2 linked regions of the Arabidopsis thaliana genome follow. The protein of the gene in region 2 interacts with the protein of the main gene of each other region in a biochemical or structural test. Each region holds a gene or a part of one and is shown on either strand. Other genes may lie near its edges.

What was found.
Region 1: the proteins of CPL4 (region 2) and RAP74 form a complex in vitro, tested with the Arabidopsis thaliana proteins (one study listed by BioGRID).

What each region holds. Positions count from the first base shown.
Region 1 is NC_003075.7:7,452,843-7,459,339, forward strand, and holds RAP74 (transcription initiation factor IIF subunit alpha RAP74), read left to right. Parts: upstream 1-1,896; 5' UTR 1,897-1,969; intron 1,970-2,095; 5' UTR 2,096-2,127; coding exon 2,128-2,298; intron 2,299-2,382; coding exon 2,383-2,535; intron 2,536-2,617; coding exon 2,618-2,763; intron 2,764-2,839; coding exon 2,840-3,219; intron 3,220-3,356; coding exon 3,357-3,475; intron 3,476-3,652; coding exon 3,653-3,784; intron 3,785-3,893; coding exon 3,894-4,106; intron 4,107-4,199; coding exon 4,200-4,424; intron 4,425-4,530; coding exon 4,531-4,619; coding exon of another isoform or gene 4,620-4,623; exon of another isoform or gene 4,624-5,154; coding exon 5,155-5,476; 3' UTR 5,477-5,513; downstream 5,514-6,497. Other genes in the region: AT4G12590 (ER membrane protein complex subunit-like protein (Protein of unknown function DUF106, transmembrane)), read right to left, coding at 1-134; AT4G12600 (Ribosomal protein L7Ae/L30e/S12e/Gadd45 family protein), read left to right, coding at 454-846, 1,208-1,366; AT4G12617 (B3 domain protein), read left to right, coding at 6,338-6,497. UniProt on the Arabidopsis thaliana protein: TFIIF is a general transcription initiation factor that binds to RNA polymerase II and helps to recruit it to the initiation complex in collaboration with TFIIB. It promotes transcription elongation.
Region 2 is NC_003076.8:23,477,282-23,482,636, forward strand, and holds CPL4 (C-terminal domain phosphatase-like 4), read left to right. Parts: upstream 1-2,499; 5' UTR 2,500-2,630; intron 2,631-2,784; coding exon 2,785-2,930; intron 2,931-3,039; coding exon 3,040-3,071; exon of another isoform or gene 3,072-3,145; coding exon of another isoform or gene 3,146-3,155; coding exon 3,156-3,268; intron 3,269-3,346; coding exon 3,347-3,527; intron 3,528-3,625; coding exon 3,626-3,924; intron 3,925-4,012; coding exon 4,013-4,198; intron 4,199-4,277; coding exon 4,278-4,643; 3' UTR 4,644-4,855; downstream 4,856-5,355. Other genes in the region: AT5G58000 (Reticulon family protein), read left to right, coding at 1-765, 859-918, 1,018-1,120, 1,209-1,283, 1,371-1,518, 1,601-1,670, 1,757-1,822, 1,905-2,215; AT5G58005 (Cytochrome c oxidase, subunit Vib family protein), read left to right, coding at 4,953-5,036, 5,125-5,262, 5,348-5,355. UniProt on the Arabidopsis thaliana protein: Processively dephosphorylates 'Ser-2' and/or 'Ser-5' of the heptad repeats YSPTSPS in the C-terminal domain of the largest RNA polymerase II subunit (RPB1). This promotes the activity of RNA polymerase II. Required for normal plant growth.

The DNA of each region.
Region 1 (6,497 bases), on a different chromosome or scaffold from region 2:
GCATCAGGAGTTGGAGTAGAACGCATAAGCTTAGAGACAAAGTATCTCAAAATACCGATTAGAACCATCACTACGGAGAGAGGAATCAGAACCCAATCTCTGATCGCCGTATCGAGAACTAGATCCTCCGCCATTCTAAACCCTAATTATCTCTCTTTCTCGTCTTCTTCGTCTTCGATCTTCTCTGGTGAAGCAAACAAAACACGATCTGAGATTCTGAGAGAAGAGCTGAGAATCCGATAATTTAGTGGAAATTATTTTATTTTTTTTATTTAAAAAATATCTGAAACCTTCTGAGTCAGAGAGAGGCTTTGATGTGTTCCCTTTATAAAACCCTAATTCGTTTGTCTATTAAACCCAAACTAAAACCCTAGCTACCTTGTTCTCCTCACCGCTTCTTTCTTCCCTGAACTCAGAACTTAGAACAAAGAACTCTCGTAGACGAAGAAGAAGATGACGGTAGAAGGAGTGAACCCTAAGGCGTATCCGTTAGCTGATTCTCAGTTATCGATAACGATTCTTGATCTTGTTCAACAAGCTACGAATTACAAACAGTTAAAGAAAGGAGCTAATGAAGCTACCAAGACATTGAACCGTGGGATCTCTGAGTTCATTGTTATGGCTGCTGATACTGAGCCTCTCGAGATTCTTCTTCATCTTCCTCTTCTTGCTGAAGATAAGGTATTTGAATTTCTTCTTATCGTTTCACTTTCTTATGAATCTCAATTAGTAGTTTCTTTGGCTCTTGCAAGTTTTACTGGATTCACTTGGGTATCTTCTTCATATGATAAAAAGATAAGACTTTATTGGCTATTAGACTCCAGTTTTGAGATTGTGATTGTTGATGTTCGTAGTAATCACTTAGGTAATTTAGTTTATGAATGTAGGAGACAGATTCAATTAGGATTTTTAGGCATTGAGAAGTTCGTTTGTTCTGTATTAACGTAGCTTGTGTAATGAGTTAAATCTGTGATTCTTGGTCTTAGGATTGACAATATCATTACTTTAGCTTCTGAGTATTATGCTCTGTTGATTCATGAATGTTTAGTTGACAGTTCCCATTCAAGTTTTTTTTTTTTGGCCTATTTAAATTTGGCTGCACAAACATATCTTTATTTGTATTCAGCAAATCTGTTTCACAAGCAACATTCTGATTCTGATTCTTTTACTAATTAGTTGTTCTCTCTCTGGCTTTGAACTATTGCAGAATGTGCCGTATGTGTTTGTGCCATCGAAACAAGCCCTTGGAAGAGCATGTGATGTAACCAGACCCGTGATCGCTTGTTCCGTTACATCAAACGAGGCTAGTCAGTTGAAATCTCAAATTCAGCACCTTAAGGATGCCATTGAGAAGCTCCTCATCTAGATTCTTGGTGGAATGAATGAATGATGGGTCTCTCCATTTATGAAGAGGCTTGGACTGAAGTGAGTTTATGTGCAACTTTTTAGCCTATGAGAAAAACAAAAAACTTGTGAACGAATCCTATCCTTTTTGAAGATTGTAATGCTTTTTATTTGATATTGTGTTGGTGCCAATGCATTTATGAACAACAAGAATCCTTTTAAAGTGAGTTTCTTCAATTTGGTTATTTGTTTGGTGACTTTGGTCTTTTGTTGCATAATGGGATAATTGATATGTAATATTGGGAGCCAAATGAAGCACGTAGAACCTATCATAAGTAGGATACAAACTTTCTCCTTCTGCTACTAAGCACAAGATATTAAAACTAGCATGTTTGTATCAAAAATATAAATATTGGATATGGTTAAATGAATGTTATTAAGTTGAGACCCAAAAAAAAACACTTGTATTCTTTGGATCAGTCAAAAGGGTAAATCAGTCTTTTAACATGTAAGTCTTCGGACTCACTATTTATAACCTCCTCTTCATTAGAGATCCCAAAGCTTAACATTCTCTCAAAATCATTCGCAAACAAAACTCTGAATTGCAATCTCAAATCTCAGAAAGGTAATAAGAACCCTAGATTCCAACAACACAATCGTTAGATTTTATCTTGGATTCCTTCTGTTAGCTTCGCAATTAGATTTTCGAAAATCGTGAAGCCCTAAATTCTCTCTTCTTTTACGGTTTCAGAAAGAAGACGATTTCCTTGGGATCAGAACATTATGTCGAACTGTTTGCAATTGAATACGTCTTGTGTTGGTTGCGGATCACAATCCGATTTATATGGAAGCTCTTGTAGACACATGACGTTGTGTTTGAAGTGTGGTAGAACCATGGCGCAGAATAAATCTAAGTGTCACGAGTGTGGAACCGTCGTTACACGTTTGATTCGGGTTAGATTTTGTGTGTTTCTTCAAACAATTTTGAGTTTCTGAAGAAAATTTTGATAAAATTGTTGTTTGGGTGAAATTGTTTAGGAGTATAACGTTCGTGCTGCGGCACCTACGGATAAGAACTACTTCATTGGTAGATTTGTGACTGGTCTTCCTAATTTCAAGAAAGGTTCTGAGAATAAATGGTCTCTTCGTAAAGATATACCGCAAGGTCGTCAGTTTACAGATGCACAACGGGTAATTTTGTGTTTGTTTTGGATCATACCAATCATTTTGATGGTTTTTACAATGAGTTTTGTGTGGATTCTAATTTTTGTAGGAGAAGTTAAAGAACAAACCTTGGATCTTGGAAGATGAAACTGGACAGTTTCAGTACCAGGGACATCTTGAAGGCTCTCAGTCTGCTACTTACTATCTCTTAGTGATGCAGAACAAAGAGTTTGTTGCGATTCCTGCTGGTTCTTGGTATGGAGAATCAAATTACCGTTGCTTCTTCTGTTGTTGTATTATCCGAATTCTGATTATTTTTGTGCTGTGTTAGGTATAACTTCAACAAGGTTGCACAGTATAAGCAACTTACATTGGAAGAAGCGGAAGAGAAGATGAAGAATCGGAGAAAAACGGCTGATGGTTATCAAAGGTGGATGATGAAAGCTGCGAATAATGGTCCAGCGTTGTTTGGAGAAGTGGATAATGAAAAGGAGAGCGGTGGAACCAGTGGAGGTGGTGGTAGGGGTCGTAAGAAGTCATCAGGCGGTGATGAAGAGGAAGGAAATGTTTCTGACAGAGGGGATGAAGATGAAGAGGAAGAGGCGTCACGGAAAAGTAGACTTGGACTTAATAGAAAGAGTAATGATGATGATGATGAAGAAGGTCCAAGGGGTGGTGATCTTGACATGGATGATGATGACATTGAGAAGGGTGAGTGATCTATTACCAAATGATCGTCAAGAAGCTTAAGAATGACTTTAGCATTTTCGTCAATAGATTGACATGATTGTTCTTCATTGTCTATTTAACAAAACTGCTGAAATGTCTGTAAATTATAATGCATTCAGGGGATGACTGGGAGCACGAGGAAATTTTCACGGATGATGATGAAGCAGTCGGTAATGATCCTGAGGAACGTGAAGACCTTCTGGCTCCTGAAATTCCTGCTCCTCCAGAAATAAAGCAGGTCTGTACTTACTATAGTGCTTTACTTCCAATGTACAATTTTCTGTGAAACTAACTGTAGTAATTTCTGTTGGTAATCCCATTTATATGTTATCCAAGTTTCAATGTTTACTAATTACAGGATTGTTGTGCCTTTACTTCCTATGAGGTCGTAACTTTCTTTTGACATCCCTTGCAGGATGAGGATGATGAAGAAAATGAAGAAGAGGAGGGAGGTTTGAGCAAATCTGGTAAAGAGTTGAAGAAACTGCTTGGTAAGGCTAATGGTTTGGACGAATCTGATGAAGACGATGATGATGATTCTGATGATGTAAGCCCTCTTTTGACATATTTTACTTCTTAAAAAATTGTTAAATTTTCAATCAAACTCATTTTATCTGGTTTGGATACACGCAAATCATCATGAATGTCATTCTTAGGAGGAGGAGACAAACTACGGTACAGTTACGAACTCAAAACAGAAGGAGGCGGCGAAAGAAGAACCTGTTGATAATGCACCTGCAAAACCTGCACCATCTGGACCTCCTCGTGGAACACCTCCTGCAAAACCATCCAAGGGAAAGAGAAAACTAAACGACGGCGATTCTAAAAAGCCTAGCAGCTCTGTTCAAAAGAAAGTGAAGACTGAAAATGTAAGATACTTGATTTCTATGTTTGAGAAAGAGTTGATCGTTTGTGCTGGATTTGATTTCTAACAAACAGGTTTCTGTAATCTTTGTAAGCAGGATCCGAAATCTTCTTTGAAAGAAGAGAGAGCAAACACAGTTTCCAAATCCAACACACCAACAAAAGCTGTGAAAGCTGAACCAGCTTCAGCTCCTGCATCATCATCCTCAGCTGCGACTGGGCCTGTGACTGAAGATGAAATCCGCGCTGTTCTGATGGAAAAGAAGCAAGTCACTACACAGGATCTTGTTTCCAGGTTTAAGGCAAGACTTAAGACCAAAGAGGTAATATTTAGTCTAATATTCCTTCTTGAAGTGACCATATGGTTTTTATCTGAGCTTATTCTGGACAAATCAATCGTTTGTGTTATATAACTGTGTCTTTTTACAGGACAAGAATGCCTTTGCCAATATTCTGAGGAAGATCTCAAAGATACAGAAGAACGCTGGTTCTCAAAACTTCGTCGTTTTGAGAGAAAAGTGAGGACTTCCTGTTTTCACAGCTAACTCTTTTCAAAAAGATTTCAAGATATCTCATGAGCTAGTTAAAATAAGAATGTTTTTCTCATTTCTTGATTTCAGATGTTTAAAGTTGGACCTATTTTTTTCCCATGACACTATTAGTAATTGAAAATCTTCAAATGTTTTATTCGAAAAAAATGTTTTATGCGAAGGTTTTCAAAAATGGAATGTTCCAGTGAAAGCCCAATTGTGAAGAGGAAAATAGTAACCATAAAAAAGCCCATTCGTAGGGATCCTATTGTGATTAGGATTTACTGAGATTCGGATAAATACAATTAGGTTTCCAACTGCTTATATGATGGAGAGATAAGATCGTTGGGACTCTTATATAAAGAAACAGAGTTTCTCCTAAGACGAGATTCTACTACTTTTCTCTCCAAAAAAAAGAAAATCAGAGTCATTAAAAGGACAATATAAGAAACTTTGCCTTGGTGAGCAAGCAACGCTACAATATAAAAGGCGAAGTATTATTGTTCTCTCCTTTGTTTTACAGATGTCAGCCTAAACCAGGGAAGAGAGAAAGTCGTGTGAACAAGCTCAACATCCGATCTAATCTTCAACCACGCAAGATGGAACTTGTGACTGAAGACGAAATCCGCAAAGTTCTGATGGAGAAGAAGCAATTAACTACACTGGAACTTGTTATGAGGTTTAAGGAAAGACTTACAACCACAGAGGACAAGGATTCCTTTTCCCATATTCTCAAGAAGATCGCAAAGTTACAGAAGAACCCTGGTTCTGAAAAGTTTGTTGTTGTTTTGAGAGATAATGTTACTCCGCTTGCTTCTGATCTAACTCGTTTATCTATTTCATGATCTCATGTGAATTTAGTAATAATAATAAGAATTTTTCTCGTGTCTTGTTTTCAAAAGGTTTTCAACCGGACCGATTTGGTTCTCGGTGGTGATTTATATGTTAACACAATTACGAAAATATTAACAAAGATGACATCAGATCTTTTCGATGATAATTAATAGTTTGTGTTTTCATATAATTTTCTATTTTGTGGTAATCAACATATGTATCGACAATACAATTAATTTAACACATTTGATAATCTAATTAACACTACAGTAATATTTTGGCTAAAAATAGGTTATATTTTGTAACACGTCTTAGTAAGACGGTCTTACAATATCTTTTTTTTTTTTTAACACGTCTCACATTATCTTACCGAGTTTAAATTTGCAAGCTTACAATTACATGCACCAACAATGTCAAATACAAATCAAAACTGAAACATTTTTTTTTCTTTCTAAAAGTGATGTACTTTCAAAAGAAATCAAGTAATTAATAGTTTCAGTGTTTACTATTAAAAAAATGTCAAATCATCTTTGTCAAATTTTAGTTTACTTTTAACACGTGTTAGAATTGAAAAACTATAAATCTATATATGTCATGATAACATCAAACTATTTATTAAACAAAATTAGTGTTATTTAGTAAAGACAAAACATATTTAATTAATTGTTAATCTCACAATATTTATGAATTAAAGAAAATTGTATCTGCTTATTATCATTATATATACTTTTTTTTTTTGGACGAATTGTTATTATATATACCCTTAACACATAAACAAGGAGATAATAGAAACCTGACATAAATATTTACAGAGTAATTAAGGAACATTAAAAACCGATTTTCATATATATATTGTGTTTAACTCATATCATATGGCAGGTAATAGGTATTTTGAAGATCAGCCGTATGAGGTAGAAAACCCTTTTAACATCATGATAACGTTGTCACCATTTGACATAGATTTGAGTACTACGATAATGATGCCAAAAACGTTACTAGAGGCCAACTTATTTCGTTTCATGGATATAAGTT
Region 2 (5,355 bases):
CTTTATTAGGTGTTAATGGAAAGAGACGGACTTGGAAGTCTAGAGCGTCCGATGTGAAGAACCCATCAACGCTTGAGATTGTTCGAGCCAATTCTCTGAAGGTGACGAAGCCGAGATCAATTGGTACTCCTCCGATGACGCCGAGGAGATCGTTGTCTAGTAGTGATTCTAATGATAAGAGTCCGAGTGTGTCGGTGGTGGCGAAGAAGGCAAGATCTGAATCTGTAGAGGGGATTGAGAAGAAGACTACTCCGGGTCGAGTTAAGAAGATCCGATCGGAGGTCTGCACGACGATCGTTAAAGCCGGTGAATTTGATTCAGTTGCGTTGAGGAAAGTGAATTCGTTGCCATCTCCAAATTCTGAGAAATCTGATACGAAAACAGAGCAAGAAGTGACTATCATTGAGAATTCGAAGATCCCAGAAGAAGTCAAGGAGTTTGGTGTTTGTCAGGAGATGATCGTATCTGCTAAATCAAACGAAAATGAGCAGATTGACAATGGCGACCAGGAGATTGGTGATCAAGATGATTATGAAGAAGATGGAGATGAGGAGGAGGAAAGAGAAGTGGAGAAGAAGAGTGTTGATGTGAAGGAGATAAATGTAGCCAAGGAAAACAGAGTTGGTGGTGTTGAGATTAAAAAGTTTAGTCAATTTCAAAACAGAACATCTCCATCTCCGTCGTCCGTTCGTAAAATTTCGCCTCCGGTGATCAAAAGGGCAACTTCTGTTTACTCGGCCCCACCAAATTCTACTTCAAGCACAGGTTGTTTAATCCGAATTTCAGTGCTTTGTTTCATCGACCGCTATTTGCTTACTGAATTCTGATGAATCCTCTGTTTTTCACGACTGTTTCCAGATAGATTTGCAGAGCAAGAAGACAACTTTACTCATTCACAGAGTAAATTGCAGAGTCTGGGTGAGTTTCTTAACAGTTTACTGTGCATAATTCCATCTACAAATTTTTTTACTATGAAAAGTCTAAAGTATGTTAAATAATGAAATGAAATCTGGACAGTGGATCTGGTGATGTGGAGGGATGTATCAAGGTCGACGCTTGTGTTTGGCTTCGGAACATTCCTCATCATCTCTTCTTCCTACGCCAATGATCTCAATTTCAGGTTCTTTAGTTCTTTTCAATTGATCAAGGAGAATCTACACACAAGTTAGTTAAGTAGTATGGAACTAAAATGTGATGAAAATGTACAGCTTCATATCGGTGGTAGCGTACATGGGACTCATCTATCTCGGTCTCATGTTCGTATTAAAATCACTGATCCACAGGTTTGATACATAGACCTATTTCTCTCTCTCTATCTTTGCATGTTGTTTTTGTGATTGGGTTTAATAGGCATGTAATAATGGACGCAGGGGAATGGTGGAGGAGGAGAGACATAAAGTGGTTGGAGTTAGAGAGGAAGATGTCAAGAGGATGCTCAGACTCATAATGCCTTATCTCAACGAGTCTCTGCATCAACTCAGAGCTCTCTTCTCCGGTGATCCATCAACCACTCTCAAGGTAAGTCTTTTTCTTCTCACTTTCTCTCCTTCGTTTCCTCTTTCTCCCTTGACCTTAATAAAGAAGAGATGATGTTTTGCAGATGGGAGTAGTGTTGTTTGTCTTGGCCAGGTGTGGCTCTTCTATCACTCTTTGGAACCTCGCCAAATTTGGTACCTCTAGACTTCAAGATTTCTTGTTTTAAGAAGTGGTGTATGTAGATTTCTGACTTGCGAGTGTTTTGTCCTCGTGAGAACAGGCTTTTTGGGAGCATTTACAATACCTAAAATCTTCATATCATACTCAACACACTTCTCTGCATACGGTAACTAAAAACTCCTTCAATATCTTTCAGTTACATCTTCTATGAAACAGTTTTTAATCAAACAAAGTTGTGTACAATTCAGGAAATTTCTGGATGAGGAGATTCAGGGACGCATGGGAATCTTGCAATCACAAAAAGGCAGTGGCTTTGGCACTTTTCACCTTAGTTTGGAACCTCTCCTCAGTCACTGCCCGTGTTTGGGCAGCATTCATGTTACTCGTCGCCTTCAGATATTATCAACATAAGATGATTTGGACAACTGATCAAGCTGATGATGATGAGGATGACAATGAAGAAGAAGAAGCAGAAGAAGAAAAAGAACAAGTCCCTCCTAAACACAAAAGGGCTCCTCCTCATATGATGATGCCTAATAAACTCAAGAAAATTTCTTAAATATACTAATTGTTTTTCCTCCATATATAAACAACATTTACTATGTAATCTCTTTAGTTTTTAGTTACTTCTCTATACAAAGCTTACAGTTTATAATGTGAATCTGATCTTCTAAGTTCAATTAACTTATGCCAACAATCTAAAACTCACACACTTGAAATATTTATCCATTCTTCTTAAACTTAGTTAGACTTGAACCCAAAAACAAACAATCTTAATTAGGCTTCTAACGGGCTTTAAGCGGGCCTTATTACATAAACTATTCAGCTTTCGTGAAATAACAAATCGGACAGAAGTTGAAAGCTTTACTTCTTCACTTTTACGGTTGCTCACCGTCGTGACATCTCCACTCTTTTCCTTTCAAAATCCAAAATCACGATTTGATTTTCTCTCGCCTCCGACGAACAAGTTTAAGGTACCACTCCATGTTTCTCTGCGATTTCAATTCGAACTCCATGTGACCTTTTCTCTGTCTGTGTTTAATTTAGGGTTTACTCAATTCGTGACTTTCATTTGCGTTGAAAAATTTATCTGATTTTGCTTTGTTGTGACTTGTGAGTGGTTTTCAGATGAGCGTAGCAAGTGATTCTCCAGTTCATTCATCAAGTAGTAGTGACGATCTTGCTGCATTCCTTGATGCTGAATTAGACTCTGCATCAGATGCTTCGTCTGGACCCAGCGAAGAAGAAGAAGCTGAGGATGATGTAGAATCTGGGTAAACTCAACTCTCATATGTCATGCATTCTCTCTAATTGAATCTTCGAACTCTCTACTGGTATTTACAGTGTGTATATTTTCTCAAACCATGTTTCTCAATCTTTTAGGTTAAAGAGACAAAAGTTGGAGCATTTAGAGGGTGAAGCTCTCTTTATTGATTCAGTCTTATTTTTCTGTCTTTCGTTTGTTCGATTGTATTGAATTTTGAACCTTATGCTTGCAGAAGCATCCTCAAGCAAAGGCGAATGCGAGCATCCAGGATCATTTGGGAATATGTGCTTTGTATGTGGACAAAAACTGGAAGAAACTGGTGTTTCATTTAGATACATACACAAGGTATCGATTTCAGAATAGCTTCTCTTAAATCAAATCTTAGTTTTTATTTAATGAGCTTTGGGAAATCTGTTTTCTTAGGAAATGAGGCTCAATGAAGATGAAATCTCCCGGTTGCGTGATTCAGATTCGAGATTCTTGCAACGCCAGCGGAAGTTGTATTTAGTTCTCGATCTAGACCACACACTGCTAAATACAACCATACTGAGGGACCTAAAACCAGAGGAGGAATACTTGAAAAGTCATACTCATTCTCTTCAAGGTGATACATTCAGCTACATTGTTTTGCTTCTTTTTCAAATGTGATCTTTGTGCATGGAACTTCAGTCTAGTATTTGTCTTTTTTTTTGTTCCATCTAGATGGTTGCAATGTTTCCGGAGGCAGTCTTTTCCTACTGGAATTTATGCAAATGATGACCAAACTGAGGCCGTTTGTTCACTCATTTCTAAAAGAAGCTAGTGAGATGTTTGTGATGTACATATACACAATGGGAGATAGGAATTATGCACGACAGATGGCCAAGCTGCTGGACCCCAAAGGAGAGTACTTTGGTGATCGGGTCATTTCTCGGGATGACGGCACAGTGAGACATGAAAAGAGTCTAGATGTGGTGCTTGGACAAGAAAGTGCTGTTCTGATTCTTGACGATACAGAGAATGTAAGTATGATTTGTAATTTGTCAATGTTTCATGTAACTTTTAATCATGATATTGAGTTGTGCTGATGATACTTGGTTTGATGCTCAGGCGTGGCCAAAGCACAAGGACAATTTGATTGTGATAGAGAGATATCACTTTTTTTCTTCGAGCTGCAGGCAGTTTGATCACAGATACAAGTCTCTATCGGAGTTGAAGAGTGATGAGAGTGAACCAGATGGGGCACTTGCAACTGTCCTGAAAGTCCTAAAACAAGCGCATGCTCTATTCTTTGAGGTATGCACTCACTGGATCTAAATAAAACTTATCTCTTGTCTTGTTGGAGTTTGTTGATTATATTATTCGTTTGTTTCAGAATGTGGATGAAGGCATATCAAACAGAGATGTTAGGTTAATGCTGAAACAAGTGCGTAAAGAGATACTTAAAGGATGTAAAATAGTGTTCAGTCGGGTGTTCCCAACCAAGGCAAAGCCAGAAGATCACCCCCTGTGGAAAATGGCTGAGGAACTGGGAGCCACCTGCGCAACGGAAGTGGATGCATCAGTGACACACGTTGTGGCAATGGATGTGGGAACAGAGAAGGCTCGTTGGGCCGTTAGAGAGAAGAAGTATGTGGTTCATAGAGGATGGATAGATGCAGCTAATTACCTTTGGATGAAACAGCCAGAAGAGAACTTCGGTTTAGAGCAGCTCAAGAAGCAATTGACCGAAGAAGAGTGATTTATGTAACAACAATGAGAAAGAAGAGATAGCTTTTTTTTGTTGGATATTAATTATGAATCTATGTCTAAAGTAAAGTTTTGTAATGTACATTACATTGTATCTCTGATATTTAAACAAGGTACTAATTTTTGGTTGATCTCCTTAATTATTTTGTTTCGTCTATGCTTATTTGCGAAGGTCTGTAATCTACCGACAACTTTTTTGGGCCGGGCCTAAATGGGCCGTATATTTATGTCCCTCATCTACTTTCATTTGTTTTGTTTGGTGTTTGTTTCTGGTTTCTGATTCCGTCTTCTTCGCTTAGACATGGCTCTCGATACTTATGCGTCGTCGAACCCTAATGATGTTCATGAGGATGTTCTTCTTAAAGCTAGAGATGCTTGTTACAAGGTCCGTCTTTCTCTCTTCTCATTTTCGTTGTTGTGATACTGATTTGTGTGATTTAGGTTAAATTGTAAGTGATCATTAATTGGTGCAGGCCAGAGATGCTTTTTACGCTTGTCTAGAAAAGGAATCTGGTAAAAAACCAACTGAAATCGCCACCGTGGGTCTTCTCTATCCTAAGGAGTGTAGCAATTCTAGAACCCAATTCGTCAACAACTGTCGGTCCTCTTGGGTACTCTCTTCTTTCAATTAGTTTTGCAAATTGCAATCTTTATATGATTTGTTTGGGAATTAATGGAAGAAATGAAAAATTGTAGGTGAAACA